Linked DNA regions of Arabidopsis thaliana. The protein of the gene in region 1 interacts with the protein of each later gene in a pairwise test. Each region holds a gene or a part of one and is shown on either strand. Other genes may lie near its edges.

Region 1 (6,818 bases):
GTTATATGTCGATGGTCATGTATCAAACTTTATAGGGTAATCAATGATGGATTTTAAAACTTTGAAATATTAGCTATACCTTATATGGAGTAGGGAACGGTCTATAAGAAGAACCGTAGTATTGTGACCAATCCTCGTTGCTGATTGCGTTGGAGTTAAATCGCTCGTTGCCAAATCGCGGTTGGAATGTGTTTTGAACTTGATGAGTAGTTGAACTGATTTCGAGATCCGAACAAGTGTCAAAACTCGATGAGCAATTACCACTCACATTCGACATCGCGTGGACATATGACCGATGTTGATCTCTTGGCTTAGCTTCAATAACAATCTTTTTGAACACACGACAAAGTGCATATGCGTCCTACAAATATAAAATTCAATTTAGATGGTTTTTCCTAATGCTATGTACAATATTAAAATGATTGTAGTCGAATCCAGTTAGTTAGCAACGAACCTGCATGCCGTATGCAGAAGGCTCACATTCTGTTTCATCAAGTCGATATTCGTGCATGACCCAACCAGTTCTTATGCCATGTGGCGCGCGCCCACGGTAGTAAACCAATGTCTTCTTGGTTCCTATGGCTCGGTCTCTCCAACTAACTCGGCGGTCTTTACCTGTAGCCTTCCAATAACCGCCTTTAGTTGCCCGGTTTGTCCTTGAGCCGTTGGGATACTTCCGGTCTCGTGGGCTGAAGAAGTACCATTCTTGGTCTTTGCTCGGAAGCAAGGACTTCCCTATTATTGAATTCATAATTGATTACTTTAAGTAACGTAATTTATCAGCAGATATTGGATGACGTAAATTAAAATTATGATTCAATTAAGCTGGCATTCATGTTTTCATGAGTTACAATTTTATATTTAAACATTTTTAAAAATTATTTTGACATTTTAATTCCTAAAAGATTTGGTGAAAATGATGAAAAAAATAATAAAATAGTTATTTACAGAACTAGTATGTGTAATTGCACATGTGGTATTTTCCCGGTAGAGACTAAAGTATATTTAGGGTTTCTTCATCAATGCTATATTCTTATTCTTTTCTTCAATCTCTCTTGTTCCTATGGGTTTTAGACAAATAATAATAATTCTTAACGATTACAGATGTTGTAATTTAAATCCATATAAATGAATAATATATGCAGAATTTGATAACTAAAGTAGAATCGCGTAATTAATGTTGATCAGAAATCATATTTTTCAAAAAATTTAAATCATATTTGATTAAGTGGATCTCATGCATAAACAAGGGAAACGTCAAATTAATATTACCTGGTAAGTCCCATGGCTCACACTTGTAAAGATCAACTTCAGCGATAACTTCAAGTTCGATTTCTAGACCGTTGATCTTTCTTTTTAGATAGTAAGTAATTAGTTCCTCGTCTGTTGGATGGAATCGGAAACCTGGAGGTAACGAGACAGGAGCCATATATATAATCTCAAGTTGTTCTTGAAGTTATTTTGTTTGAATCAATTTCAAAGAAAGAAAGAGAGAGAATCGAGACTCGAGAGGAAGAAGAAGAGATTATAGAATAGGTATATGTTTTGTGTTCGTTGAGGGCTTGGAGAGCAAGGTTATATATAAAGAGGTAATGAAAAAGGGAGATGCAAAAGTGAATAAAGGGAAGGTCCCCATCCCAAAATAACATATAATGTTAAAAAAATTCAAAATTTAATTAATATTTACAATTCATCAATTTCTGTCCGACGCATATATAATATTGTTCGAAGTGTTTTTTTTATATTGATAGATAATTAAAATGCTAACAAATAACATGATCACGTGTAGATTCTGGTACTTAACCGGAATAATTAATCAAAAATTGCCGCCCTAAATGTAAACCGTGTTTCTTCATCAATTATATTATCCCATGCTTCTCCGAGAGTGGTCGGTCTGGAATATATGTGCACTTGTCAGATTTCTATTGGTTGCATGGGAGATCGAATCTTGGGTTAACCCAAAACTGTTGCAATCTCTCTTTCTTTTTTTTCTTTTTTTTTTTTGTTATTTGGCGGCACTTCTAACTGAAATAACTGTCTCTTTTGTACCCACTTGCATGCGAATCCTTTGTTTCCCTTCACATTGCCATCCGATCTACGTACATAGATCTTTTTTAAAAATAGATATCTTGATGTTGTAAATTTATACTAGTAGTGTTTTACATTTTATTTTGTCATTTATATATGTCTATTTCTGTTTCTCATATTCATATTGTATATCGTATATCGAATAGAAAGATGAACTCCATTTTATGGTCGTTCCATCAGTTAATGCTCATATATTTTCTAGTGTATTAGGCTGTTAATGTAAGGTTGTGTGATTCGGGAAAAAAAATTGAAATTTCGGAGATTTTGAAACAAAAATTAAAAAATTGAGTGGCCAGAAATCCTTTCCTCTCCATATTTAGTGTCGTCATATAAAATACCAAAACTTTTGTTCCAATATAGAAAAACTATTGACCGAAAGTCCAATTACGTACTCCAAAGACTTATGGATATAAGAAATTATAGTTTGAGTATTTATCATTTTGGTCGAAACTCGAAAGCTATATATAATCATATGAACATACAGTCACATTTGGTGTAGGCGACTATAAAACTTATCTAAAGTTGATTTATCAAAAAAAAACTTATCTAAAATTTGGAAAAATGAAATCGATCAGATATATATATATATATATATATATATATATAAAATTTGAACAAGCATATGGTTTTGAGATGGTTATATGTATGATCATGTGGGATCCAGCAGTTGTGAACATGTGAATAAATCCTTGGAAGCTATTGATGGGCCAACCCAAGAGAATCACTTCTCAGCCTTTCTCATCATCGTCATAACCTTTTTCTCTCATTATTCCAAATTCCATATTCTCTTTCTTCTTTGTATCACCATATATATACACATATATATATATCTTTAATATATCTACAATGTGTACATAGTACATACCCTTCTTGAGACATTTCCCTCACATGAATCCATCTTTTGGTTCTTTACTTAATTCTTTTTAACGTTCACACACATTCTATAAACTAATAACATATTAGTCCTATGATTAGCCCCACCATTAGATTGGGTCATTGCCTCATTGGCAAAAATATATAAATTTGGTTAGAATGAGAAAGTAATAAATTAAAAGTTAATATGTAAAAATCGGTTGAAACTATTATGAAATTTCGGAGTCTACAAGATCCCCAAGACTTAAGACCGTGAAGAAAAATCACGAAATTACATGTAACTTTAGCTATAAAAAAAGAAGTCTAAATGATTATAATGATTTTTTCTCCATTTATTATATGATGAAAACGCGGATCTACAGAATTTAATGTCATTCCAAGATGAAATCGTACGTATGAAAATACACATAAGGAAAGTGTCATTGATTTGTTGAACGATGTGGGCTAAATGGGCTTTCCCGTGGGCCGAGTAACTTATGATCAATCTACAAGCGGTCACGTGAATAAATGGGCTTGACCGTGGGCCGAGGAACTTATGATTAATCTAAAAGCGGTCACGTGATTCCCAGCGGTGAGCGCACGTTAGAATAGTTCCCAGTTCCATAATGAGGCTAAAGTGAGCCGAACCATGTCTGAGAGTCAGAGAGATGAGATCATAAATTAATGGAGATCTTACAAATATGGAAAATTTTAAATACAAAAAATCGAACCAAAGAAGAAGAAGCCTACGGTTGTTCTGTTCCTTTCAATCTCACCAAATTTTCATCTTCACCTTCAATTTTGATAGATTCTCTTCACCGAACCAAATCCGTAACCCTAGCTTCTTCTTAAATTATAGAGAAAAAGAGTTAATTCGAATCTGGATGAAATTGGTTTTGTCTAGATGGAAATCTAGATGTGTCTGATTCCGAAATCTGAGTCTGAGAGATGCTAGGAGCGATTCATTTGGGAGTATTAGCAGCTTGTTTCGTCCTCTTCGTTCCCATGGCAATGGCTGGTTGGCATCTGAGCAGGAACAAGATGCTCTTCTTTAGTGGCGCTTTGTTTATTTCTCTCGCGGTTTGTGTTCATCTCACGCCTTATTTCCCTTCCGTTTCCGACATCGTTGCCTCTGTTTCCTCTGTTGTTGTCTACGATCATCGTATCTCTTGTATCAACGAGGTTAATCAGATTGTCTGGGATGTTAAACCGGTACCGAATCCGGAGTCTGTTCGTAGGAACAATGGCTCAACAAAGCTTGATTATTTCGTGAAGAACTGGGATTGGATGAAATCGAGGAAAGTTTTGAGTTGTGAGTTTCAGAAATTGGATAAGTTCGATGTTTCGGATTTGTTGAATGGATCGTGGGTTGTTGTTGCTGGTGATTCTCAGGCGAGATTCGTGGCTTTGTCTTTGTTGAATCTTGTTTTGGGTTCGGATTCCAAGGCTATGGATTCGGTTAGAGGGGATTTGTTTAGGAGACATAGTGATTACAGCATTGTGGTTAAGGAGATTGGGATGAAGCTTGATTTTGTTTGGGCTCCTTATGAGAAAGATTTGGATGATCTTGTGGTATCTTATAAGAAGATGAAAAAGTATCCTGATGTTGTGATCATGGGAACTGGGTTATGGCATATGCTTCATGTGAACAATGCTTCAGATTTTGGTTTTAGGTTGAGGCAATTGAGTAGTCATGTGGAGTCTCTAGTGCCCCTTACGCCAAAGGAGCAAGAAGGAGGTGGGTCGGTCTCCGGTAGATCTGTGCATCTGTTCTGGATTGGGATGCCGGTTTTGATCAACGGGATGTTGAATACGGATGAGAAGAAGGAGAAGATGAGTGATACGGTGTGGCATGAGTATGATAGATCACTCGGGGAGAGTAAGATCTTACGTCAAATGGGTGGTCCTCTTATCTTGCTTGATATCCAGTCGTTTACCTGGAACTGTGGACCGCAATGTACACTTGACGGGATGCATTATGACTCTGCGGTCTATGATGCCGCTGTCCATGTCATGCTCAATGCGTTGCTTATTGAATCTCATCAATCTTTATGAGTTCTTGACACGTTTTTTTTTTGTTTTTTTTCCTTTTATTTTGTTTGGGGTTCTCTTGTAGAGTTTTAAGAGAAGTGGGATGTTCATAGGAATTTTACAACACACGGTGATCCTTTTGGCCTGAGTGATCTTCACATTGGAGAAGTAAGTGAACTTACATTCATGGCTATAATAGGTTTAATATCTTTTGACTTTGAGAAGTTATAACCTTTAGCTATTCTGATTCTTGTTATATCACAGTACCCTTTTGGATTCTTTTTACGATAAGACTCAGTACTCATCATTAGCTTTAAGCACTTGAAGGAAGCTTTCGCTCCTTAGTAATGTAAACAAATAGATACAATAGTGATGTTTGTGTGATCACTGTTCTTAGTACATTGGTGAGTTTTTGTACCTATGCGTGGGAGAGAGAGAACTATGAAATGCAAAAGTCTGACCCAAGTTCTTTCCTTTTCAACCCTAAAGATAACCTTAGACCAAGATCGATATACTTGCCATCAAAAAATTCTGACCCGGAAAAAAAGAATCATGGGATTGTATCTCAATGTGTCCGTCTCTGTCTCACGGAGTCTCGAATTGTTTCCCTTCGAAGGTCTGTCCATAATTCCAGTTTTTCGGGGAGACATTGTAAGATGTCACGGTTGACCTGTCACTAGAAGTTACTTCAAATGAGAGAGCTTGGTTCCTGAGATCAGCATTAATATGCCAATTTTGTCCCCAATTACGACCCATAGGTAACCACCCGGTTCTCGACCCTTTGATCTTCACAGCAGCTATATCACCGGACCCTGCAACATTGGTGATCAAAACCGAAATGAAAATGCCTCCACCATCGACTGTAAACCGCATGCTCCCTTCCTTTCTACAGTTGATCCTGTTTTGGTAAAAGCCAACAAAAATGGTTGTAAGTCATAACTCATAACTTAAGTGATATGCAACTAACTATTTATAGGCTCAGCTCCAAAACACTTCACAAACTAATAAAGGATCTAATGATCCATTGTATCATGAACCTAAATAGTAGTTTACCGCATTGTGCCTAGAACTTCACAGAAACAGTCAATTTCAGTCCTCTCATGGCTAAGATGAAAATGAGAGCAAAGCTACTCAACTATGATGAGCAAACCTATCTACCATTTCTCAGAATCTTGTACACACTAAGATAAAACGATTAGGGGCAATAAAGTAAATTGCATATTGAGGAAGAGATTTAGGGTAAACCCATCTCACATAATAAAGCACACGGATATCGAAGAAGACACAAAAGCAAAAGCATCGCCGGATTTTTTAAATCGATAGTGGCGTCTAAAAGCAGAACCGCGTTCCCCACCACCGCAAACGCATTTTTTTAACAAAACGCGAAACAAATTGGGAAAAAGCGGAGAGAAACGCACCTTCGATACTGCACCGGCATGTTCCCAGCTTTCCAAATAGCGATCTTCTCAAACGCTTCGATCGGAAGCACGAAATGTTTGTTAGGTGGATTACAATGACCACCACCGTCGGGATCAAATCCGTAATTAGGAGCACAGAAATTCGTAGCGGTGAGTATAATTGAAGTTCCAGGGATACACCAACGGAGATCATCAACACATCTGAGCTCGAAACAAGCACCACAGATCTGACCACGCTCAAACAGAGTCTCGCTTAGACCAACAGTAGCCATACCGTACCCAGATTTGACGAGATCTCCGTATCCACACGCACCGCCCACCGCGTCTCGAGGATTCGTAGCGGCGTAGTAGGTGGCTCGAGCTGGACGCCATTCTGAGGCGTCGGAAGAAACGGAGGACGAAGAAGGTGAAGAGGTTGAGGAAGAGTAA
Region 2 (7,825 bases), on another chromosome or scaffold:
AATCTTAAATAAATCCTACCTGCAGATTGTGTGCGTGAGCTCTTTTGACCAAATCTGTGGGGGCTAGCACATAGTTGTTGTTTACCGGAACAATTGTATCCTTCCATGGTCCGATACCCACAACATATTGCTTGATGTATTCGAAATACGCATCTGATGTGATCTCTGCATATGTCTGCTTAGATTTGCAAGAAAGATCAATCAGTCACTTTTAATAGAAGCAAAAGAACTTTCAGGAATCATAAACAATACGACGAGCAGAGCATTGACCTGGTTAGTGTCTTGCGTTGGCATGGTAACATCGTCTATTAGAAGGACTTTCGGCGAGTCTGTCAAGTTTGATATGTACACGAGTGAAGTTGGGGCAAATGACTGAATAAATAGTGGTTTTTTCAACCACTTCTTGGACAAATACGAGCCTCCATACCCATACTTCTTAAGTGTCTCCACAACTTTATCCTCAAATTTCTTACCACCAGGCCATTTGACCTGCAAATATATAACAGTGATAGAAGCAAAGGTTAATGACTCACCTGCAGTGGGAGTGAAAGCCAAAAAGAAATCATTTTCTGCAAATTGAACCAAATGGTATATGTGGCTTTTTAAAAGTCACTCTAAAGGATTTCAGTAAGAGTAGAAGTCAAGCTTTTAGGATTGTGACTCACATGCTGGTTCATTAAAACTGGATTTTTAATCTCAGGATATATTCCAACAACTCTTGGAGCATCCCGAGCAATGGTAAGAAATTCCTCAAATGTAATGATAGGGTACATTCCTGAAATACAAGCAAGATATGGGCATGGTTAAAGATTTCCTGTATTATGCAGTTCTTACTTTATATCTTCCAACAGCCAAAATACAGGAAAGAAAGGCGAGCAAACCGTTGTATTGCTGATCCCGAAAAGCATATCGCTGCTTTATACGTAGTTGCTTTAGTTCTTTAAGTGTAAAATCAACTACAAGCAATGAAAGAGGAATCACTTGTTAGCAAATCATTCAGACTCAAACAAACCAACTTGAAGCTTTATTAGATGCTTCTCTAGCTGTTATGAGATTATGTGCGAGAGATATTTTGAGCAAATGACTCTATCCTGAGACCGAATCCAGCAGCATGCATTGACTCAGACCTAGAAACAGAAGAAGAATTGATGTAACGTACAAGTGAAAAAGCCAGTAATGTTGAATCCTTGGACATCATATGTCCTTTTACGATCTGCAAACTCCTTGTGGCTCGCAACATTGGTTGTTTCGTCGAGAATACAATCATGGAAACATATGAGCACACCATCTTTGGATGATAAGATATCTGTTTCTATGAAGTCTGTGCCTTCTTCAATTGCTTTCTATCATAAGAAAAAAAAAATGTTTTACTTCTTATCTTCGGAAATCATCAAAGAGAAGGAGATTGATCAAGAAAGATCAACAGTATACCAAGTATGCAGCTGTAGTTTCTTCTGGGATCTCTCCATTGGAACCTCTGTGTGCGATGTTATAAGGACGTGAAGTCTGAAGTTGAAGCTTGACAGTTTTGGGTCCTTTAACAGGGAGAGGGTGCAATGTCCTCCCAGCAGCACACACAGTAAGTAGAGATAGCCATATCAAGGGTAAGCATCCTGTAAGATCACCAATAACCACTTTGTATTGACGTTAACAGAAACAGAGCCAAAAACAGAACCAAGACTCAAACTTTTTTTAGCTTAACAGGAAACAAATCCAGATAGAATGAGAAATAAGCTTTGGTCTCTCAAGACCCAAAAAATTTTCTAAGCTTATAATGAAACAAGAAACAGAAACAGATCCAGATTCAATAAAAGATTAAATTTTTTTGTTTTTAGTGTATAGTAAAAAAATGAAACAAATCCAGATTCTTACTTTGTTCTCAACCTATTCGCTTCTTTTTTTTAATTTACTATTCAGTTTTACGAAGAAAGGTGAAATTAGACAAATTTCACCAAAAAAACACAAGCTAATGCAATAGAAAGCAATCAGAAGCACAGAAAGATTTCATGCATACAAAACCCAGAAAACAAGAACAAAAAGAAAAGGTTGAAATTGAGAAGCTTTACTTACTTGTAAGAATCATGGCGATCTGGTAGATCGATCGGATTGCTTGTTTGATTCTCCTTATTTGTCTCTTATCCCACTCTATCAGTTCTTGTCCATTTATAATAAAGTGTTTCTAATGATATACATATATGATATATCACTCTTACTCCATTGACCTGTTTCTTGGCTTACCGCTCTTGGGCGAATATTATATCTTTCTTCTTCAATTCACGTTTTCCGAATATTCCATTTGTTTTTGGTTGACAAAGACTTTTTAAGGTTGCATTTTATATTTCTGAATAAAAAGTAGTAATACTACCAAGCAACGCCTCTCCATGCTAAAATTGCAAAGAACATCCTCCCATCTTTTATATTCCCCCACCAAAAAAAAGCGATGCATTACCAACTTTTTTTAATATTGATCCTCACCATCGAAACCTCATTATGCGTCTCGCCGGAGCTCGCCGGAATATACTTTTTGACTCCCAGTCGAAGGTCCGGTACGTCTTGATCGCTGTTCCAGCTTCATTTCTAAGGTCTGGGTCGACCCAATTGCTGTTTATAACTCCGATTGATGGACAGCGACGGTGGTAGCCGCCGTTTCGTGAGGATGTAGGGTTTTTATTTGGGCGGAGACAAAAATAAAATGTTTGCTGGAAACGGTGGCGTTTTTGGTGTTGGCGGTAACATCCATTGTTTCTGACGTGGCATATTATGCCACATAATCAATACAGTTACCGCAGAGAGTTTAAACTTTAAAGGTTAGATTTTTTTGTTCATATAATGCTTTAGTTATTCACATGTTTAACAGAATTCAAAGTTTATAACTTTATTCACTGAATGTGTAAGCAACACTTGAATCATTTTGTGGTATATATGATTGTGAGTAGTTGTTTTAAAAAATCAATTCAAAAATTTAATTCTTGGGCCTGTGTTGCAATAATCTCATTCGTTAATTTACTTGGCTACTGACAAGCGAAATATCATATGCTAAACCACTCATTTTCTAGAGAGACTTTGACTTGTATGCCCAACGAGTCTTACCATACTACTCTAAGTGAGTTAGTTAGACGCTAAAGATATGACTTTTCAAATTTACAGATATTTCTTGAAGAACTTGGTGTTTTCCGCTGGAAATTTGAAATTCTTATAGAGGTGGGGAGATGTTTGCTTGAACTCATATTCACATATTGCGTTTGAGTTTCTTTTGTTTCACTTTTTGTCTCATATTGATATTTGCTATGGAAGGGAAGGTGTTTTTGGGCCAATACTTGATATGGATTATGTTACTGCTGGGACAGATACATGGATCCAAAAGCTGTATTCAGAATGAAAAGAACGCTTTGTTGGACTAATGACACAAAGAGTGATTACTGTCTGTGGAAGGTCATTGAGTGATCGCACTAGCGGGCGGGTTATCAAGCTTTCCTTTGGTAAACCTTTCTTCAAAATCTAACTCACTTCAAGTAGAGTTGGGAAGTTCTTGGAAGCCGAAATTTCAGTTGAGTGTTATTTCACTAGGAGCTTGCAATTTGGTGAAGGTTCCTCATTTTCCTATACCAGAAGGATTTGCGTCATGTTGATCTCTCTAACAATAATAAGTTTCCATCGTGGCTGCTGGAGAACAATACAAAACTCGAGGCTTTGCTTCTACAGAATAACTCTTTTACAAGCTTGCAGCTACCGCAATCTGATCATAATCTGCTTTACCTGGATGTTTCAGTTAATGGATTTGATCAACTCTTTCCTCAGAACATTGGGTGAATACTTCCTTGCTTACATTATATGAATCTAACGACTAATGGTTTTCAAAGAAATCTACCATCTTCTCTGGGTAACATGGAAATGATTGAATTTCTGGATATATCTCACAACAGTTTCCATGGGAAGCTACCAAGAAGTTTTTTGAAGGGTTGTGATTCCTTGATAGTCTTGAAACTATCACATAAGAAACTAAGTGAGGAGGTTTTTCCAGAAGCATCAAACTTTTTTTCAATACTAGAGCTGTCTATGGATAACAATCTGTTTACAGGAAAGATTGGAAGAGGTTTGCAGAGCTTGAGATCTTTGATTATGCTTGACATTTCGAACAACAATCTCTCAGGTGTTATTCCAAGTTGGTTTGACCAACTTCAAGACTTACATTCGCTACAGATTTCTAACAACTTGTTGGAAGGTGAAGTACCTATATCGTTATTCAACATGTCCAGTCTTCAACTACTGGCCCTCTCTGCAAACAGTTTATCAGGGGACTTACCTCAAGCCATTTCTGGATATGGGGCATTAAAAGTGTTACTCCTGCGAGACAATAATTTATCAGGGGTTATTCCAGATACACTGCTAGGGAAGAATATCATTGTGCTTGATCTGAGAAATAACAGATTGTCTGGGAATATTCCGGAGTTCATCAACACCCAATACATCAGAATTCTTCTTCTCCGAGGGAATAATTTAACAGGCAGTATTCCTCGCCGGTTGTGTGCCGTAAGAAGCATTCACCTCCTGGATCTTGCTAACAACAAATTAAATGGATCCATACCTTCATGTCTTAGGAATGCATCACTTGGTTTGGGGAGAGGAGGATACATTAGACGATTATTTATAATCATTACGTTTTTTCTTTGGGAGCACCTGTCAGTACATTTTTCAAATCTCTGCTCGTGCAAGATGGGTTTGCTATCGATTATGAGTTAAGCACCCAAACGAAAATTGAGTTTGCAACAAAACACAGATATGATGCCTACAGGGGTGGAAATCTCAAATTATTGTTTGGACTGGATCTCTCAAAAAATGAGCTGAGCGGTGAGATCCCAATAGAGTTTGGAGATCTTCGGAAACTACATGCTCTCAATCTATCTCACAACAACTTATCAGGAGTATACCAGAAAGCTTTTCAGGACTGAAGAATGTGGAAAGCCTTGATCTTTCTTTCAACAGATTACAAGGTCAGATCCCACCACAACTAACGGAGTTGAGCAATCTTGAGGTCTTTAATGTCTCATACAACAACTTTTCAGGAGTCATTCCACAGGGAAAACAGTTTAACAGCTTTGACATGCGAAGCTACATAGGCAATCCTCTTCTCTGTGGGCAACCAACCGACATAAGATGCATTGGTAATACCTTTCAAGAAGCAGATTATGGAGTGGAAGCTGTTGAAAACACGATCGACATGGTTTCTTTCTACTGGAGTTTTGTTGCAGCATACATAACAATCCTTCTTGGGTTACTCGCATCACTCTCATTTGATTCTCCTTGGAGCAGAGTTTGGTTCTACATCGTCGATGCTTTGGTTCACAAGGTTAGGAAATTGTTATGGTAAAATACTGCAGGTGACAAAATGTTTCTTACGTGCTAGTTTCATTGTCGTCCCCTTCTGTTGTTCTTCTTCTCAAACCTCCTGCTTTGTTTCACAAAACCAGAACATAGCTTATGTTTTGGTTCCTCTGTACTGTCTTTTTGTCTTTGAATAAAAGTAATGCCTCAAAACATATCTTGGACTGGTTTGGTGGTTGGTTTAATTCATAATATACAGTAACACATGAATTTCTTCAGGAAACAATTTCATCGTAGAAACAGTACACATTACGAAAGACAAATGAATATAAATACATTTAATTTCCATTTTATCTTATGTTTTACCGAAATAATTTTATTTTATACAACTAATTTATTTCATCTATTTGGATGACTAGTTGAAAATTATTTGTAAAAAAATAAATTTGTTTTCTTCGAAGCTGCGAGAGTTAGTCACAGTTGACTATAGAGATTTTCTTCGAAGACAAAATGACGCCAACAAACGACGCCGTTACAGATCAACCTCTGTTTCAGACTTTCAGGAGTAACTGATCCAAGAGAGCCTCCTCATCAACTCCGTCAGCGTTGGGCTTCCTCAAGTCTAGTGGTTGTTCAACAGAATTCAAAGGCCATGACATCAAAGAGAGGCATTTCAACAAATATCATTGACATATAACAAATATCATTGAATGATTCAAAGGTACTATAACTTATAAGGCTAAACCAGTCAAAATAAACGAATGTGATCACTTGAATCTTAAGTGTTTAGGTAATAGAGACTTCAACATTGTAAATATAACCAATATTATTCGTCGTTGACCTTGACGTTATTCTGTTTTCACCGGATGTAGAAATTCTTATAAACGTGGAGACACTTGTATATATTTAACTACATTGCCTTGAAGTGTTTTCATTAATCTTTGAGTTTGAGTTTCATACATTTTCTTCTCTTCTTTTTTTCTTCCATCACATTTTCAATGGAAGGGAAGGTGTTCTTGGGTCACAACCTGATATGGGTGATGCTACTGATGGGGCAGTTACATGGATACAAAAGTTGTATTGATGAAGAAAAGATCGCTTTGTTTGAGCTCAGGAAACACATGATCTCAAGAACTGAATCCGAGTCTGTTCTCCCTACTTGGACCAATGATACAACGAGCGATTGCTGTCGATGGAAGGGCGTTGCTTGCAATCGTGTAAGCGGACGGGTGACCGAGATTTCCTTTGGTGGACTGAGCCTAAAAGATAATTCTCTCCTAAATCTTTCTTTGTTGCATCCCTTTGAAGATGTTCGAAGTTTGAACTTATCAAGCTCCAGATGCAGTGGCTTGTTTGATGATGTGGAAGGTATACCATACTGATTACTTTAAAACATTTTTCTGTTGCATGCTCACTTTGATATTTTCCATGTGTGGACTAATTCTTATTTCATTGTTTTAATACAAGAAAGTCCATATCTTCTGATAATACAGTGCTTAGCTTTTCTCTGTCTCTGCATTTACTTGCTGAGAAATGTTGCATTTTGCAATGACATCAAACGTTCACTTACATTCTAGTCCCATTTGCATAGAGTTCCTCTCTCACTATCTCCATTTGCATGCATCATTGCTCAGCATGTAAGTGAACTATGTTATTTTCATATACTTTGTTAACAAGATTCTTGTTTGCAGGTTATAAAAGCCTCAGAAAATTAAGAAAGTTGGAGATTCTGGATTTGGCTTCAAATAAATTCAACAACAGTATATTTCATTTTCTTAGTGCCGCTACATCACTCACAACTCTGTTTCTTAGGTCCAACAACATGGATGGCTCTTTTCCTGCTAAAGGTATCTCTACATTCTTAACTAAATCATACTATCTAGCGTGACCTTTCTATCGATCATGGATCATTTGTTGGCTTGATATTGCTGTAAAATTTGTATGTCTTTAATTTTAGTATGTAGCATTCTTTTATTTATTGGACTCCCTTTCACTTCAGAACTTAGAGATTTGACAAACTTGGAATTACTAGACCTGAGTAGAAACAGATTTAACGGCTCCATACCAATACAAGGTTAGTTATTTTAAAATTAACGCTTGCCTTTCTTTTCTATATTGGAAACTTAATACTAGATTTAACATCTAAAAACAACATTTTTGGAATGGTTTAAGTCATCCTTAAAGTTATTTGACCTTAGATGTGTATTTGCCTTTCGGCAGAGTTATCTAGCCTAAGGAAGCTGAAAGCTCTTGATCTAAGTGGCAATGAATTTTCTGGCTCAATGGAATTACAAGGAAAGTTCTGCACTGATCTTTTATTTTCCATCCAGAGTGGTGCATTCACGTTTGTTAAGTGACTAAACTTCTGCATTCGGTCATTGCAGGGATTTGTGAATTGAATAATATGCAAGAGCTTGATCTCAGTCAAAACAAACTCGTAGGCCATCTCCCCTCATGTTTAACTAGCTTGACTGGCCTTCGAGTTCTTGACCTTTCATCGAAC
Region 3 (8,974 bases), on another chromosome or scaffold:
CAACAATAATAAAAAGTGGGGATAATTTTTGATTTCTGATAGAAAGAAAGAGAAACAAAGAAAGGCGGGACCGATCCGCCATTAATGCTACCACCCAACTACAAGGCTTTTCTCACACACTCTCTTCTCTCAATCTCTTGGCTCAGAACAAAGAAGATAAAAAAAAAAGGTGAGTAAGAATTTGTCTTTAATTATTTCTTCATGTGTTAGTTGTTAGGTTACTTAAATCGGCAAAAGAGATTTGATGAACTTGGTCATATGCTTTAAAGTGTGCATACATTTTTGGGGTTGTTACTAGTTGTCAAATCTTTTCCTTTAAACCAATTTGATTTCCTTCTCATCTTTTCCAGCTTCCATTGATTAAAAGTTTCTACCTTTTTCTTATCTTCAAGTGTGATATATTGTGAGAAGATTGCAGAAGCGTGTCCAACTTGGTTCCCTCTCTCTCTGAAATTACTCAATCATGGGGATTTGCTTGAGTGCTCAGGTCAAAGCTGAGAGCTCAGGTAAACACATTACTTCAAATGCTTTTTCCTATCACAAACTATGAGCCTTCTCGTAGGAATCTTTTGGCTTCTGTTCCTCTGTTATTCTGTCAAGGCAAAGTACTTAGATTTGTTGTTTCATTACCTTAAAGTTTTGATTTTTCCAATCTGAGGTTAGGGTTTTAGGTGTTTCTGTCAGATTTGGTTCGAATGTATGACGAAACTAATACTTTTTTTGTTCTTATTTGGTTGGCTTAGGAGCGAGTACGAAGTATGACGCCAAAGATATAGGAAGTCTTGGGAGCAAGGCTTCGTCTGTGTCTGTAAGACCAAGCCCTCGAACTGAGGGTGAGATCTTACAGTCTCCAAATCTCAAGAGTTTTAGCTTTGCTGAGCTTAAATCAGCAACCAGGAATTTTAGACCAGACAGTGTGCTTGGTGAAGGTGGATTCGGTTGTGTTTTCAAAGGATGGATTGATGAGAAGTCTCTCACTGCCTCAAGACCAGGCACGGGTTTGGTTATTGCCGTCAAAAAGCTTAACCAAGATGGTTGGCAAGGTCACCAGGAGTGGCTGGTAATAATGCTATAAGTTAAAATATGCCAATTTTGGTTCTTGTTTGTTTTTCATTAATCTTCAGTTTTGATGATTTTGCAGGCTGAAGTGAATTACCTTGGTCAGTTTTCTCACCGTCACCTTGTGAAGCTGATTGGTTATTGCCTAGAGGATGAGCACCGTCTTCTTGTTTACGAGTTCATGCCTCGGGGTAGCTTGGAGAATCATCTTTTCAGGAGTATGTCGTCCTTACTCTTAAGTCTAATCCCAGGCTGAGGTCAAACTTAAAGCTTTGTTATGACGTTTGTGAATATTCAGGTTTGTTTTTCTTGGGTTACAGGAGGTTTGTACTTCCAACCGTTATCTTGGAAACTTCGGTTGAAAGTTGCTCTTGGTGCTGCAAAGGGACTTGCTTTTCTTCACAGTTCCGAGACAAGAGTGATATACCGAGATTTCAAGACTTCTAATATCCTTCTTGACTCGGTAATTTAAACTTTTACTCATTGTTAATAACTTGATATGATTGCCATGACAGAACTGCAAAAGTTTTAAGCTTTATGATGGAAAATTTCTGGTACATAATCTCAGGAGTACAACGCAAAGCTTTCTGATTTTGGGTTGGCTAAGGATGGGCCAATAGGTGATAAAAGTCATGTCTCTACACGAGTCATGGGTACACACGGATATGCAGCTCCTGAATACCTTGCAACCGGTAAGTGTCGGATCCTTTTTGGTCAAATCTTTGTTTTCTGGAATTGGCTTCTTCATATGAATGATCACTTTACATTTTCCTTAGGTCATCTAACAACAAAGAGTGATGTCTATAGCTTCGGGGTTGTCCTTCTGGAGCTGTTGTCTGGTCGTCGAGCAGTGGACAAGAACCGCCCATCTGGAGAGAGGAACCTTGTGGAGTGGGCTAAACCATACCTCGTAAACAAAAGAAAGATATTCCGAGTCATTGATAATCGTCTTCAGGACCAGTACTCTATGGAAGAAGCATGTAAAGTGGCTACTCTGTCTCTGAGATGTCTCACCACAGAGATTAAGCTGAGACCAAACATGAGCGAGGTTGTTTCGCACCTCGAACACATTCAGTCTTTAAATGCTGCTATAGGAGGAAATATGGATAAAACAGATAGAAGAATGCGTAGGAGAAGTGACAGTGTTGTCAGCAAAAAAGTGAATGCAGGTTTTGCTCGACAGACTGCTGTTGGCAGTACAGTTGTTGCTTATCCTCGCCCATCAGCCTCGCCACTGTATGTTTGAATAGGGTTAAACACGTCCTGGGTCTGTGTTCAGTGTTCTTGGTAAAACATTTGCAGGACATGAAGTTCCTATATCATGTCCTGAGAATGGAATCTGGATGTACAGTTTTTGTCTCTCTTAATGTAAGAATTCTGTTTAAATACAGTTCACCTCTCATTACACTACGACAAACATTTAATTTTGATCTTTGTAACATGAGGATTCATCAACATAATGATAAGTTCGTTCGCATATCTGCTTGTTATGAATGCTGCAAAGTAAAGAGTAAAAGACTAACGTGCCTTGGGGTTCACATCTGTGCCAAAGCTTAAGTTAATGTCCATGGATCTCGATGTGTCTATGTCTCTTGTCCTGTTGTTTTCAGATACCAGACACTCCTTCAGCTCATGAACAACATGGGACATGTTGGGTCTTTTCAAGGAAGAAGGATTCACACATGTCATTGCTAATTCAAGAGCTTTCCATGCAGAACCAGAGTCATAGACCCCTTGAAGTTTAGGATCCATAATATTGCTAATGTCTCCTCTAGTAAGCATAAGTTTCACCCATTCTGCTATGTGAGGCATGTCGCGGTTATGATCGATCACCGGTTTGTTTGTAATAATTTCTAGCAGTACAACACCAAAACTGTAGACATCACTCTTCTCAGACAACCTATTAGTTTGGTAGTATCTGCAAGACGAAATGATTATGATTCTTTTGTTTTAACCGGTAGAGAAGATAGTTTTCAGAAAGAGCTAAAATTCTTACTCATGATCAAGGTATCCAAATGTTCCAGCAACAAGTGTAGACACATGAGATTCATCCCCAATGGGAAAAGATCTAGAAAGCCCAAAATCTGCAAGCTTAGCTTGTAATTGATCGTCCAATAGTATGTTAGAACTTTTTACATCTCTATGAACTATCAGCGGTTTGCAACCAATATGCAAGTACTCCAAACCTGTCTCCAAAGTTCTTTGGTGTTTAACAAAACAATAGAAAGTTTGATCAAGTGGTGTTAAAAGGAAATGAAAATGACGAACCTGACGCTGCATCAACAGCTATGTTTAGTCTATCAACCCAGCTAATGATGGAGCTACCTGCATGTATTAGCATAGACATGAATGTCACATATCAACACGATGCATTTCTGTCATGATATATGCATGAGAATATACATGTGTTACCTGAAAAATGTTTTTTCAAATCGCCATTGACCATGTACTGGTAGATGAGGGCCAGATGATCTTTTTCATCACAGTATCCAACAAGACTTACCAGATTTGTGTGGTAAACCCTTAGAAGAAGTTCTACCTATCCAAATATGTACAATATATAATATACGTCAACTTAGCCTTACAAAAATGTATAAAAATTCATAAGGGTGCCAAAGAAACCTCTGTTTTGAACTCTTTATAGCCTTGAGCTGATGATGGAGAGAGTAGCTTGACCGCTACTTCTTCAGTACCATTTATATAACCATGATAGACCATTCCAAATCCTCCTTTACCCAAAACCCTTTCAAATTTCTTTGTCATGGCAAGAACTTCGGCATATGTATATCTTTTCTTTATTGTTTCTATTGATTGTTGGCTTGGTGATGGACCTAGAACCATACACAAATAATTAGAAATCACTTTATAATTATGTATGCATACAATAATATTTCTGGTTTGATGAATTTGATACAGATACCTTTTCTGCTTGATGAGCGTCTTTTAATACAAACAAAAAGCAGAGCGATCATTGCTATTATAGCAGCCAAAGAAGCAAGTGATGCAACAACTGGTAACATGATGCTATTTTTCTTTTTGTTGCATGAACTGGAAAAACATAGGTTTGGATTTCCCTGAATGCTAGTATTGTAAACAAGCTAATCAAGTGTTAGTGAAGACATACTGCAAATTAAGATATCATATTTCAATGACCATCAACTATTGAAGACTAAATATAGTTGAGAAGATCTTACTTCAACTTCAACCCATTTTTCACTTTGTTGAGAAGAGCTTGAGGGACTGATCCACTAAGGTTGTTTCCGCTTAAGTTTCTGCCTAGGTAAAAAATAAACATCAACAGACTCGGATAATAAATTGGCAATGTGATTCATATGAGTGACCAAGTAACTTACATGACTAACAATGATTTCATTTTGGCTAGAAATTCAGGTACTCCACCTGTTAGATTATTATTTGAAAAGTCCCTATCATATGCAAAAATGAATTAATTGATTATATGTTTGGCCTTGATAAACAGAGTATTCAAGTAAAACAGAGTATTCAGGTAAAACAGAGTATGTGTTTGACCTTGATAAAAAATTGGCAATGTGTTCATACTTACAATTTTTTAAGCTCCGTAAGATTTTGGATCTCAGGAACTATAATTCCAGTTAGTTCACTTGAGGACAAGTCTCTGGTGGTAATTAAAGATCATAACACACATTTAAAGTGTAAGATGTTACGAAATGCAGAGCTTAACAAAAAACTGTTTTAATGTTACGAATAGCCATGGACGTACAAGGAATGGATTCTTGGTGGTGTAGACATATTGGTGTACTCGCAGGTAAGACCATCCCACAATAATTGTTGAGGAACACATGGATCTCCTTGCCAACTAATTCTACTTAATCCATAGCTTGTTTCTATGCTCTTGATAGCAAGGACTAACACACAATAACAGAATGAAAACACTTAAGTATATACAAAAAAGTATATATATACTCAGATTTTGCTGACATACCGTCATTTGCATTAGTTTCAGACTGCGGAAACTCCACTGTTATAAAAGCCTCAATAGCATTGAGGAGGGGAGGGAGAGTTGATTTTGGAGTTTTTATTAGTTGCAAATGGCATGTCCCTCCTTCACATTTAACTGGTGATGTATTGAATAGAGTACCCACTAGAAACTCGTCAGGACTAACAGGTCCATAGTTAACATCTTGGCCTGCGCTAATGTTGAATTCCCTGGTATCATTTTCCCTTAAGGATTGGATCTCAGCGACGTGGAGGTATGCATAAACTAAGTCGTCAGGTGTTTCCAAATTCCAAGAAATGGTTAATGGTGAACTCACATTTGCAGGTGTGGCTGCCGTAACCACTACGTCTTCCGGTATGTCATAGCCGTTATCATCAGAAGTGTTGACCGTGAGACTTGTTCTTAACAGTCTCCATTCCGGCATGAAAAATGGACTCCAAAGACGATCATGGACATCTTCTGGATACCTGAAGAGAAAGGATGGAAAGTATTACCGAACAGTGTATCCAGTGGAAACCAATCTATTCATTACCAATTGGTTTTGAGTTGGCTTACCGAACAGTTTCTTTGGAATCAGTCAAATGGACGCGGAACAATGTCTTGAGGGAACCAGATTGAGGAATATAAGTATTATTTCTCAATGGTCGTAGTTCTAAAGCTGATATTAGCGGCGTAGTTGTTCCCGTCTTAACAAGACAAATCTGCAAAGAAGTTGACCTTGGTATGTGAATGATTTCCGCCCTTGTTCCGTTTACATTTCTTTGCAAATCGACCGTGGTCCATATATTTGGACCAAGATAAAGGTCGAACTTTGGGTGTGTGTTAAGATTATCGTAGTTTCCATAAGTAAACATGGCTACGATCAGATAGTTTGTGCCTTGTATGACGATAAGAGTATAACAGTTTCGTACTCCATCTGGAAAATATCTCAAAACCGTGTATGGCTTTATATACTCCATCCCCGGAACATTTTGAATCTTGCCGCTTTTTCCACTTTTGATGAAATCGGCGTCTGATGTGAATGTTAACTTTGTTAATGGTTCGGTATAAGGAGACTCATCGGCTTGCAACCCGCAATCCAAACTGATGAATCCTGATAAAGGCAAAAGAAAAAAAACAGAGAAATAATTTGGTAAAAAAATAAGTTTGGAAACTGAATTAATGACTAAATTGTGATAGGAAACATGTTTAGTCAAAGTTAAAAGAAGAAAACCTGAAACAAAAAAAGTTATACCTTGTTGATCTTGTGCTCGAAGAAAATCGGAAATGCCTAAAGACAAAACTAGGAAGGCCAATAGAAGTCCACGGAGGTTTTTCATTTTCCCACCTCTGTCCAAAAAAAAAAAAGGATTACGAATTGCCAATGTACTTGCAATATAAAACATGCCAAATCAAACCTTTGGATATAAAAAACGGATGAATTGTTAAATAATTATTTATTAACTTATATTTCTGCTTGGGGCGGATCATAACGGGAAATATGTCAACGTTCACATACCAATAACAATAAGCCACCTATTGAGTTGGACCGATCTTCTAACCAAATTCGAAATAATTTGTCTAATAATTTGATTATGGTAAGACTTTTCTCAAGTGGAATTATAAAATCTGACAAGTGTGTGTCATGTTTAAATTTTATAAAAAAGGTTTGCAAGTGGAAATTAGTAGAACTGATTGATTCTAATTGGTTATCATCAAGCACACCTATAGTAGATTAACCTGAGAAAATGAGTTATTACCGTGTGTGTGAAGGGATGTCATATTCATATATGGCAAAGTCACCGATCGTGTCAGAATCAAACCACGAATATAAGCAAAAGTGAACAAATGAATCGAGATTTTTAAAATATAGAGAGTATATAACCTGGTTGCATATTTTTCATTTCAAAAATTTTATAATCAACCACTAACGTCTTGATTTATTTTATATGGATATTATACCAGTGGTTAGCTGTTATTATTCGTTAGATAAAACCATGGCAAAAGTTTAAGTTTTTAAAACAAAATTTATACGTAGACGTCACCATGATTAATTCCATTTGCAGCTTATAACACTAAAAATTTGTCCATTTCAAAACTTTGGTAGTAGTAAGTTTTGTTAGTTGTGAACGAAGAAATCATCAAAAATGGACACTTGCACCAGGCTTCTGTTTGCTGCGTGTGCCACTTTATCCATCTTACATCTTGTTCAATCTCAGAATCAACAAGGTCTTTTTATCATCTGTTTTTCTTTTTTACAATAATTTTGGAAATAAACCATTCTAAATTTTTTTTTGAGATAGAACTTTATATAAGAAAAACAATATGTACCTCTCCCTTTTCGGTCTTACCAGGATTCATCAGTTTGGATTGTGGATTAGCTTCTAACGAGTCTCCTTACAACGAAGCAAATAGCAATCTGACGTACATATCCGATGCTGATTTCATTCAAGGAGGAAAAACTGGTAATGTCCAAAAAGACTTGCTTATGAAACTCAGGAAGCCATATACGGTTTTGAGATACTTTCCGGATGGAATCCGAAATTGTTACAGTCTAAATGTCAAGCAAGACACAAATTATCTAATCAGGGTTATGTTTCGATATGGAAACTATGACGGGCTTAACAATTCTCCAAGATTCGACCTCTATCTTGGTCCTAATATTTGGACAACCATAGATATGGGGAAGTCAGGTGATGGAGTTCTGGAGGAGATCATTCACATCACAAGGTCTAACATCTTGGACATATGTCTCGTCAAGACAGGGACGAGTACACCAATGATATCATCCATAGAGTTGAGACCCTTGCTATATGATACTTATATTGCTCAAACCGGTTCCTTGAGGAATTATAACCGGTTCTATTTCACCGATTCAAACAACTATATACGGTACCTTATTTTCACCTTATGCTTTATAAATAACCAAAGTAGATTATGAGCAGAAACTTTAATCTCCACAAAAACTTTAATATTATTGTCATTTAAGCCATCTAGCGTAAACCAAGATTATACAGTATTAATTATTGTTATTAGTTGATGTAAAGTAAAATATATAACTTGATTTTGGCAGTTATCCCCAAGATGTGCATGATAGAATTTGGGTGCCGTTGATATTACCAGAATGGACGCATATAAACACAAGTCACCACGTTATTGATTCTATAGATGGCTATGACCCACCACAAGATGTACTTAGGACCGGCGCCATGCCCGCTAATGCCAGTGATCCAATGACCATTACCTGGAATTTGAAGACGGCTACTGACCAGGTTTACGGTTATATTTACATCGCCGAGATCATGGAAGTCCAGGCCAATGAAACTAGAGAATTCGAAGTTGTGGTAAATAATAAAGTTCATTTCGATCCTTTCCGTCCTACCAGATTTGAAGCACAAGTTATGTTCAACAATGTACCACTGACATGCGAGGGAGGATTTTGTCGTCTGCAACTTATAAAAACTCCGAAATCGACTCTTCCACCCTTGATGAATGCTTTCGAAATTTTCACGGGCATTGAGTTTCCTCAATCAGAAACAAATCAAAATGATGGTATGTTGCCTTTGAACAAATATGCATATAGCTTTTTACACGTATTATTTCTTGCTAATTTGCACCATGTTTCAGTCATTGCTGTAAAGAATATTCAAGCTAGTTATGGACTGAACAGAATCAGCTGGCAGGGCGATCCATGTGTCCCTAAACAGTTTTTGTGGACTGGCTTAAGCTGCAACGTAATTGATGTGTCCACACCACCAAGAATCGTGAAATTGTGAGAGCATTTATTCTAACTCAATGTTGTTAGCAAATCTTAAGCCCTGAAATGTATCTGATGTGATATGTCTTGGATCTTCCAAACAGAGATTTGTCTTCAAGTGGATTAAATGGAGTTATACCACCTAGCATACAAAATCTAACTCAACTTCAAGAACTGTACGTATCTCTATAACAAAATGAAGA
Region 4 (7,038 bases), 1.9 Mb from region 1:
ATCAAATTTAGTCTGTGAATTGAACAACATCGTGAGAGGGCCGGCGAGTATACAGTATGGCTCCCAAAAAATCACGAGCCTTATTAGAGAGCGGTGAAAATAGTAACTTAAAAGAGAATCAGAGTCTATAGAGGCTCAGGTGGGACTTTTAAAAAGAACTACAACAACAAGAATCATCACTTCTCGACGACTTCGATCAGACTTGTCTCATAGTCACTCGGGGCCACAAATCCATGGAGGTTCATCACTGTCGCAGCTACATTTGCAAGCCCAGGTGTCTCGATATCCTGTCTAAACCTAACTCCTGCTGACAAGCCAGGACCTCCTATGGCAATTGGCACCTGCACACACACATCATGTCCAAATTTCATATAAGATACACCAACCACTTCTGGTATTACAACCCCTCATGCTTAATCTATGCTCAGTTGCAATGGTCATAACACGAACTGTTTTAGTAGTGCTAGAACTTACTGGTTTAAGGGTGTGAGAGGTAAGAATCTGAAGGTTCCCTTCCTTATCGAGAGCAGGCTTGCCGGATTTGTCCCTTTTAACCATGTCCTCAGCATTTCCGTGATCTGCAGTCACAACGTATATCCCTCCGACCTGTTCTATGGCATCAAGGATTGTCTGCAAACCAGGACACCAAAACTAAGTGAGTCATTGCTACTAAGAACGGTTTCTAACATTCCCATGTCACAAATTTATTGAAATCATACCCTCACAGCACGATCAGCAGCTTCACAGGCAACAACAGTTGCTTCAATATCACCAGTATGCCCCACCATATCTCCATTTGGCAGGTTTACACGCACCTGAAAATCCATTGGCACCAAACTCAGAAGCCAATTGTTTTAATGGGTTGATACAATGTGATAAGAGAATACACCTTACCTGGTCAAACTTGCCACTAAGGATAGCATCCCTTGCTTTCTCGGCAATTTCCAGTGCTTTCATCTTTGGCTGGACATTGAATGATATTCCACTATCACTTGGAATCTCAACGTACTCTTCTAACTTTTCATTGAAATATCCAGAGCGGTTGCCATTCCAGAAGAAGGTTACATGGCCAAACTTCACAGTCTCACTGTTTCAGTGAAATAAAATTTTAATAGGTTAATAGCTGAGAATTCATTCATTATATGTAACTAACCATCAACGGTATAATCTCATCAAGAAAAAGTGAGCTAGGAGATTTCACTAGTTTTAATCAACAAACAACCCCCAATCATAAATTAGACCTCTACCGAGCAAGTAAAGAAGACTGGATTACTCTTATCACAGTTTCAATTATGAATCCAATTCCAGCAAATAAATAAACCAGGAAGCAGCAATAGAAGAAAATGGCAAAGACAATAACTAAAGATTTGAGAGATTCTAAAAGTTAACCTGCAAGCAAAAGTACGAACGCCATTGTGTGCCAGATATTCACCAGAAGTTCTGTCAATCAATGGTGGAGAAACAAGATAGCGGCTAGGAAGCTTAAGCTCTCCATCATATTGGAGCATTCCTGCATAACGTATATCAGGGACACGTACGCGATCAAACTTGTCGAAATCTTTGTATTCGAGGGCCTTTGCATGCATGACCATTCGATCAGCACGGAAATTGAATGTAACAACTGCGTCACCATCAACAATTGGACCCACAGCCTTTCCATTATCATCAACAATAACAAACGAAGGCAAATACTGGTCATTGGCACCAGGTTCTGCCCTCAGTGTCTTAACTGCTTCAAGAGCGCTTTTAAATTTGTGGGGAGCTTCCCCAAGGACTTGTGCATCCCAACCTCGTTTAACAACACTCCAATCATTCTGCAAGGAAGGAAAGCAAAAATTGGATTCATTTCTAAACTAGACTAGACAAGGCATGACATTCATACAAGATCTCACAAGCATTGCCTACCTCATAACGGTCCATTGTGACATACATTCGACCTCCACCAGATGCAACCTGAGCATCAACACCTTTCGCACGTAAAGCAGCTAGGTCAGCTTCAAGAGTTTCAACAAATCCGACACTAGAACCATCCAAAACATCACGACCATCAGTAAGAATATGGACGCGGATTCTCTTAGCACCACGTTCTGCAAAACCCTTAAGCAGCAACTGCACCAAACAGAACCAAATTAAAGAAAATTAACAAACGCCAACGTTTCAAAAGAAATGTGTAACAGATGAGAATTAAGTACCTGGACTTGATCCAAACGAGAGTGAACTCCACCATCGCTTAGAAGACCAATAAGGTGCACAGTGCCTTTCTCAAAAGATTGAGAGATGTATTTGAAACCTTCATCTTCATAGATTTTCCCTGAAGCAAGGGCGAGATCAACAAGCTTAGCACCTTGAGCGTAAATTCGACCAGCTCCAAGAGCATTGTGGCCAACTTCACTGTTTCCCATGTCGTCTTCGCTGGGGAGACCAACGGCGGTACCATGAGCTTTGATCAACCTCCATGTGTCGGGCTTCCCCTGTGAAGAATAAAATCGAACCGTTGAAGTCCATAATCGGAATCCAGCGAAATCATCGAGGAAAGAAGTGGATATAAACAAAAAAGGAAACATACGTCTTTAAGGGAATCCATGGCAGGAGTTGGAGCTTTATGGATGCAATTGTATTGATCGGGATCAGATTCACCCCATCCATCGAGAACAATCAAACCGATAGTTTTGCCTTTGGGAAGCTTGGGGTGGTCCGCAAGTTTCCAGTTAACGTCGCCGGAGCTACCCATAACTGTGGATTCAGATCCACTCGTCGGTGAGAAATTAAAGGTTTAAGGAACAGATCTGAGAAGCGAGAGAGAGAGAGATAACGGAAGCTTACCAGCGGAGAAACAGAGGAAAGCTTCTCAAAGAGTCTTATGGAGATTCGCAGAGACAGAAGTGGTTATGTGGTGAAGTATGGTAGGTTGAGAGCTATCACTGACATAATATGAGACTTTTATAGAAACATAGAAATGGAAAAGTTAGCGATGACGTGGTACCAATTTAATGGGCTTTACTTTGGGCTCAAGTAAACATTGTGAAGCCCCCAAAAAAATGGAAGGAGACGAATGTTCTAGTTTTAGCTGCTATGAACGAATGTTCTGGATCATGCCGTTTGTAATAGTCATGGTGTGCGCCATGTAAAAAAAATTGTATATACCTTTTTATTTTGGTCAACGTAAAAAATAGCATACAGAAAAGGTCAAACCGGAGTTAACTTAATAGTTTATACGGTATTTGAACCAGAATTTGATCAAAAATGGGTAAGTTTTAGTAACTGGGATTACATTAATTTCTGTTGACAGTAACTTTTTTTTATCTAAATCATTATTTAAACCTTGAGATTGCATTAAATCAAACTGAAATTACACGAAAACCAAACCGAAAACTCATGTAAGAAATTCAGGGTTGTGCACATTTATTTATTCAATATCATCATAATATTAACTGGGAACCTTCAAAAGGTTGGTAGAAGGCTAAAAAACAATTTCTAATGGGCCAAAGACAAAAAGTTGAGTTCCTATATATTGGGCTTAAAAAGCCTGAAACTAGATGAGACGTGGTTCATAGTCAGATAAATGGGCCAAGGATAAGGAAAGACAAAAACAAAAGTAGAAAAGAATCATACAGTATACATATATGGGAAATATACAGAGAGAGATACAGATAACACAATAAGAGGTAGACGGACAACTGTTACGGCGAAATTGAATGCCGCAATGTATCAATATGATTGGTCGAAAAGGAAAGTAAAAAAAACAAACAAAATATTAAATTTTTGTTAATGTGTAAAGGGAGAAAAAATCAGATGAACAGGCTGTATCATTTTTTTTTTTGTGAACAAATGGGACTGACGACAACACTCTTCTTCTCCTTTTTGTCCTTTTGGCTCTCTCCTTCTCTCCTTTCTCTCTCTCTCTCTTTTCCACCGGCGACCATTCATTCTCTCTCCTCCTCCTCCTCCTCCTCCTCCTCAGCTTCCTCCATTGCTCCTTAACCCTCATTCCTCGATTTGTTCTTCTCTTCACCATTTCCCCTTTTTACCCTTTTTCTACTCAGACGTGACGGCGACTTTTTATTCCTGTGTCTCCCACCTTTGACTCGCCCTGGGGGGATTTTTTTTTGCTCCAGAGGCGAAAGAAACAAAAAAAAGCAATGGGGTTTCTCCGTTGTCTCCAGCTGCTGCTGCTTCTGTTTCTATCTCTTCGTCTACAAAAGCTCTCTGCTCAATCTTCTTCACCCAATGCTTCTTCTTCTTCTTCACTCGATGCTCTTCTTCAAGATTACTCTTTTAGAGCCTTGCTTCGTCCTCGTACCGGCATTCTCTACGAGGCTACTACTGTTCCTTCCAATTTGACTGGGATCAAACTCGCTGCTATGAGACTCAGAAGCGGAAGCTTTAGAAAACGTGGAGTCACTCCTTTTAATGAGTTCTCAATTCCCAGCGGCGTTATCGTCAAGCCGTATGTGACAAGGCTTGTTTTGGTTTATCAAAACCTAGCTAATTTCTCTCACTTGTATTACCCTTTGTCTGGTTATGATTATGTCGCTCCTGTCTTGGGTCTTCTCGCTTACGATGCTAAGAATCTCTCTGCGCTTAATTTGCCTCAGCTTGATTTAAGGGTGTCTAATGATCCTATCAGAATCGATTTCTCTGATCTGGAACGAATCCCGCAAGGGTCTAGTGCTAAGTGTGTTAGATTCGATTCTAAAGGTGAAGCGAGTTTCAGCGATTCGATTCAGCCTGGAAACACATGCGAGACTGAGCATCAGGGACATTTCTCTGTGGTGGTGAAATCTGTGGCTTCTGCTCCGAGTCTAGCTCCTCCTGGGATTGAGAGTAAGAAGAAGAAGAAGAGCTCTGATTCCAATTCCAAGACTTGGATCATTGTTGGGTCGGTGGTTGGTGGATTGATACTGTTGGGGCTTTTACTGTTTCTGGTTTTGAGATGTCGAAATTACAAGAAGCAAGAGAAAATGAGGGAGATGGAGAGAGCTGGAGAGACAGGGGAAGCTCTGAGGATGACTCAGGTTGGTGAAACAAGAGCACCAACTGCTACTACGACTCGTACACAACCAATGCTTGAAACCGAATACGCAGCTTAGGATACTTTTGTGTACATCATCATCATCATCACATCTTCTTGATCATCTGTTACTGTCTTTTTCTTTTTTTCTTCTACAATTATTCTTCTTTTGGTAAAGTGTTTCTTTTTCTGATTATTTTTTCTTTGTGGTAAGCAAGTTGATACTTCCACATTCATCTTGTTTCTCTGCTGGTGATAAGGAAATAAGTAATATTGTTTTCTTCTTGTGCTCTCAAATTAACAAACTTTGGTGGTCTCTCCATGAGAATGAAAAGAGTTGGATTGTTTCTGGAGTGCACTCACTTTGTTTTCTTCTAACTACTTTTGCTGTAAAGCTTTGCCCTTTTTGTAATAATTTCAACATCTTTTTGTCTGAGAAGCAGACAGTTGAAGAAGATGTATATCATCCTATCATCCATACTCAACTTTGTTACATTGAGCTTAGCATTCTTCAAAAGGAACTAGTGTGTTCTTGAGATTTGTTGAGTTTTAACATTTTTTGCAGCTATCTGCTTCATGCAACTTGTTGACCCTCACATTTATATTAGAAGATCACCGATGAACCAATAGATTTTGGAACCAAAGAGGTTAGAATCCGGTAGGATATGTAGAAGATGATTTGCACTTGGCAATGTTACAACGTTTATGTTTACATCTAGGATTGTCTTGTTTGCTTACCTTATATGAAAAGTCATCTCGTTCATATGGATTTTTTGCATTCTACATTTTAGAAAAGCACCGTTTGCCACTTCAGGTATGTAACAATGTGCACAGCTACAAATCTTTGCACTGAACAGATTTGGAATAAAGTTTGAGTTAAAGTGAATACATGACTTGGTTAATCCTGGCTTGGGCCATCTTGTGGCCTCTTGCTCATATCAAGTAAAATGCCATGACAACAACGTTAATGGCTAAGTTAGCATTGCAGCATCTCCTCTGACTTCTGCAGATACCAGGAGATTTTTTGTCTCATCATTCCAAAATCTTAAGGTTGAAAAAGAGATGAAGTAAAATGTATAAATGCGGTATTAATTGTGTTTCAAGGACACACAAATAATTGCCAGTTTTTGTCAAAAGGAAACTATAGTTGTAGAATATTCGTCTCTTTTCTTCTTTTTCTGTTATCTGTTCTATTAGAAAGCTAAAGAAATACATCAAAGTCAGGTCTCAACGGTAAAATGAAAACAAGCTTCTTTTTCACTAAAGAGTAAAAGAGATTCCTCTCAACATTGGTCTTTCATATTTTTCCTAGCTCATATTCTGGTGTGGTTGATCGAATCTTAATGAACCGGAGAAAATAAAAGATTTGATTATGTAATTTATCATAATCAAGAGCTTGTTTGTGAACACATGAAAAAGTAAAGGAAAGAAGAAGAACTCTCTCTGCCTGAGGAGTTGTAATTTTTGGCAGAAGCTGGTGTCGTTTTAAAGAGAAATTAGAAGTGAATCTATGTAGTTGTGTTGGTTGGTAAGATCGATTTAGTTACATTAAATAAAAAATATTCCTTTGAGCAAAAACAATTAAAAAAGATAGGTTTCGTCACAAGGTGGACCATTTCGAAGAAGAATTAAGAGACGAGCCCACTTGAAAGAGACATAGCGAGGGGACCCCATGTGAATCTGCAAGCAGAGACAGAGGCTTTGACCGTTCTCATTCATCAACCATCCTCCATTATTAGCCAGAGTCATAAACCATGTGATTCATCATCACAAGGCTTCATTGGACTCTCTCATGCATATTCACAATCTCCACTTCCATCTTATACAATTCCAGTTCCTACCCGCAACAAATCCAACACCTGAAGATGATACTGATGCTTTTGAAAGTATAACTAGGAATGAGAGAAGTACTAGGATGAGCCATCTTTCCAGATATTCATTTATTCACTCACACAGCAAGAGAGTAGTTCAGTGTATCATGCAACTTAAAAGCATACAAAATATCACGAATAGAGAAATATTGATAA

The links.
Region 2: the proteins of AT3G03210 (region 1) and RLP16 interact in a protein complementation assay, tested with the Arabidopsis thaliana proteins (one large-scale study listed by BioGRID).
Region 3: the proteins of AT3G03210 (region 1) and AT1G07560 interact in a protein complementation assay, tested with the Arabidopsis thaliana proteins (one large-scale study listed by BioGRID).
Region 4: the proteins of AT3G03210 (region 1) and AT3G08600 interact in a protein complementation assay, tested with the Arabidopsis thaliana proteins (one large-scale study listed by BioGRID).

What each region holds. Positions count from the first base shown.
Region 1 is NC_003074.8:737,099-743,916, forward strand, and holds AT3G03210 (Pmr5/Cas1p GDSL/SGNH-like acyl-esterase family protein), read left to right. Parts: upstream 1-3,605; 5' UTR 3,606-3,888; coding exon 3,889-4,995; 3' UTR 4,996-5,211; downstream 5,212-6,818. Other genes in the region: NAC045 (NAC domain containing protein 45), read right to left, coding at 80-361, 455-735, 1,273-1,429; EXPA13 (expansin A13), read right to left, coding at 5,557-5,869, 6,390-6,818. UniProt on the Arabidopsis thaliana protein: Component of the plant cell wall polysaccharide acetylation pathway. Does not directly catalyze O-acetylation of xyloglucan but exhibits weak acetylesterase activity in vitro.
Region 2 is NC_003070.9:27,904,654-27,912,478, reverse strand, and holds RLP16 (receptor like protein 16), read left to right. Parts: upstream 1-3,120; 5' UTR 3,121-3,831; coding exon 3,832-4,740; 3' UTR 4,741-5,570; downstream 5,571-7,825. Other genes in the region: GDPD5 (PLC-like phosphodiesterases superfamily protein), read right to left, coding at 20-175, 271-489, 666-775, 882-956, 1,160-1,343, 1,432-1,613, 2,071-2,083; RLP15 (receptor like protein 15), read left to right, coding at 6,321-6,690, 7,014-7,169, 7,322-7,396, 7,543-7,656, 7,707-7,825.
Region 3 is NC_003070.9:2,324,700-2,333,673, reverse strand, and holds AT1G07560 (Leucine-rich repeat protein kinase family protein), read right to left. Parts: upstream 6,360-8,974; 5' UTR 6,355-6,359; coding exon 6,270-6,354; intron 6,129-6,269; coding exon 5,591-6,128; intron 5,503-5,590; coding exon 5,021-5,502; intron 4,944-5,020; coding exon 4,799-4,943; intron 4,694-4,798; coding exon 4,622-4,693; intron 4,485-4,621; coding exon 4,413-4,484; intron 4,332-4,412; coding exon 4,254-4,331; intron 4,141-4,253; coding exon 3,980-4,140; intron 3,891-3,979; coding exon 3,682-3,890; intron 3,599-3,681; coding exon 3,472-3,598; intron 3,385-3,471; coding exon 3,328-3,384; intron 3,246-3,327; coding exon 3,056-3,245; intron 2,978-3,055; coding exon 2,578-2,977; 3' UTR 2,526-2,577; downstream 1-2,525. Other genes in the region: APK1A (Protein kinase superfamily protein), read left to right, coding at 525-600, 744-1,060, 1,142-1,277, 1,380-1,522, 1,628-1,751, 1,836-2,305; AT1G07550 (Leucine-rich repeat protein kinase family protein), read left to right, coding at 7,162-7,243, 7,369-7,906, 8,088-8,566, 8,642-8,786, 8,876-8,947.
Region 4 is NC_003074.8:2,608,507-2,615,544, forward strand, and holds AT3G08600 (transmembrane protein, putative (DUF1191)), read left to right. Parts: upstream 1-3,668; 5' UTR 3,669-4,139; coding exon 4,140-5,090; 3' UTR 5,091-5,512; downstream 5,513-7,038. Other genes in the region: iPGAM2 (Phosphoglycerate mutase, 2,3-bisphosphoglycerate-independent), read right to left, coding at 177-341, 475-630, 720-815, 895-1,087, 1,390-1,814, 1,906-2,109, 2,193-2,471, 2,567-2,731.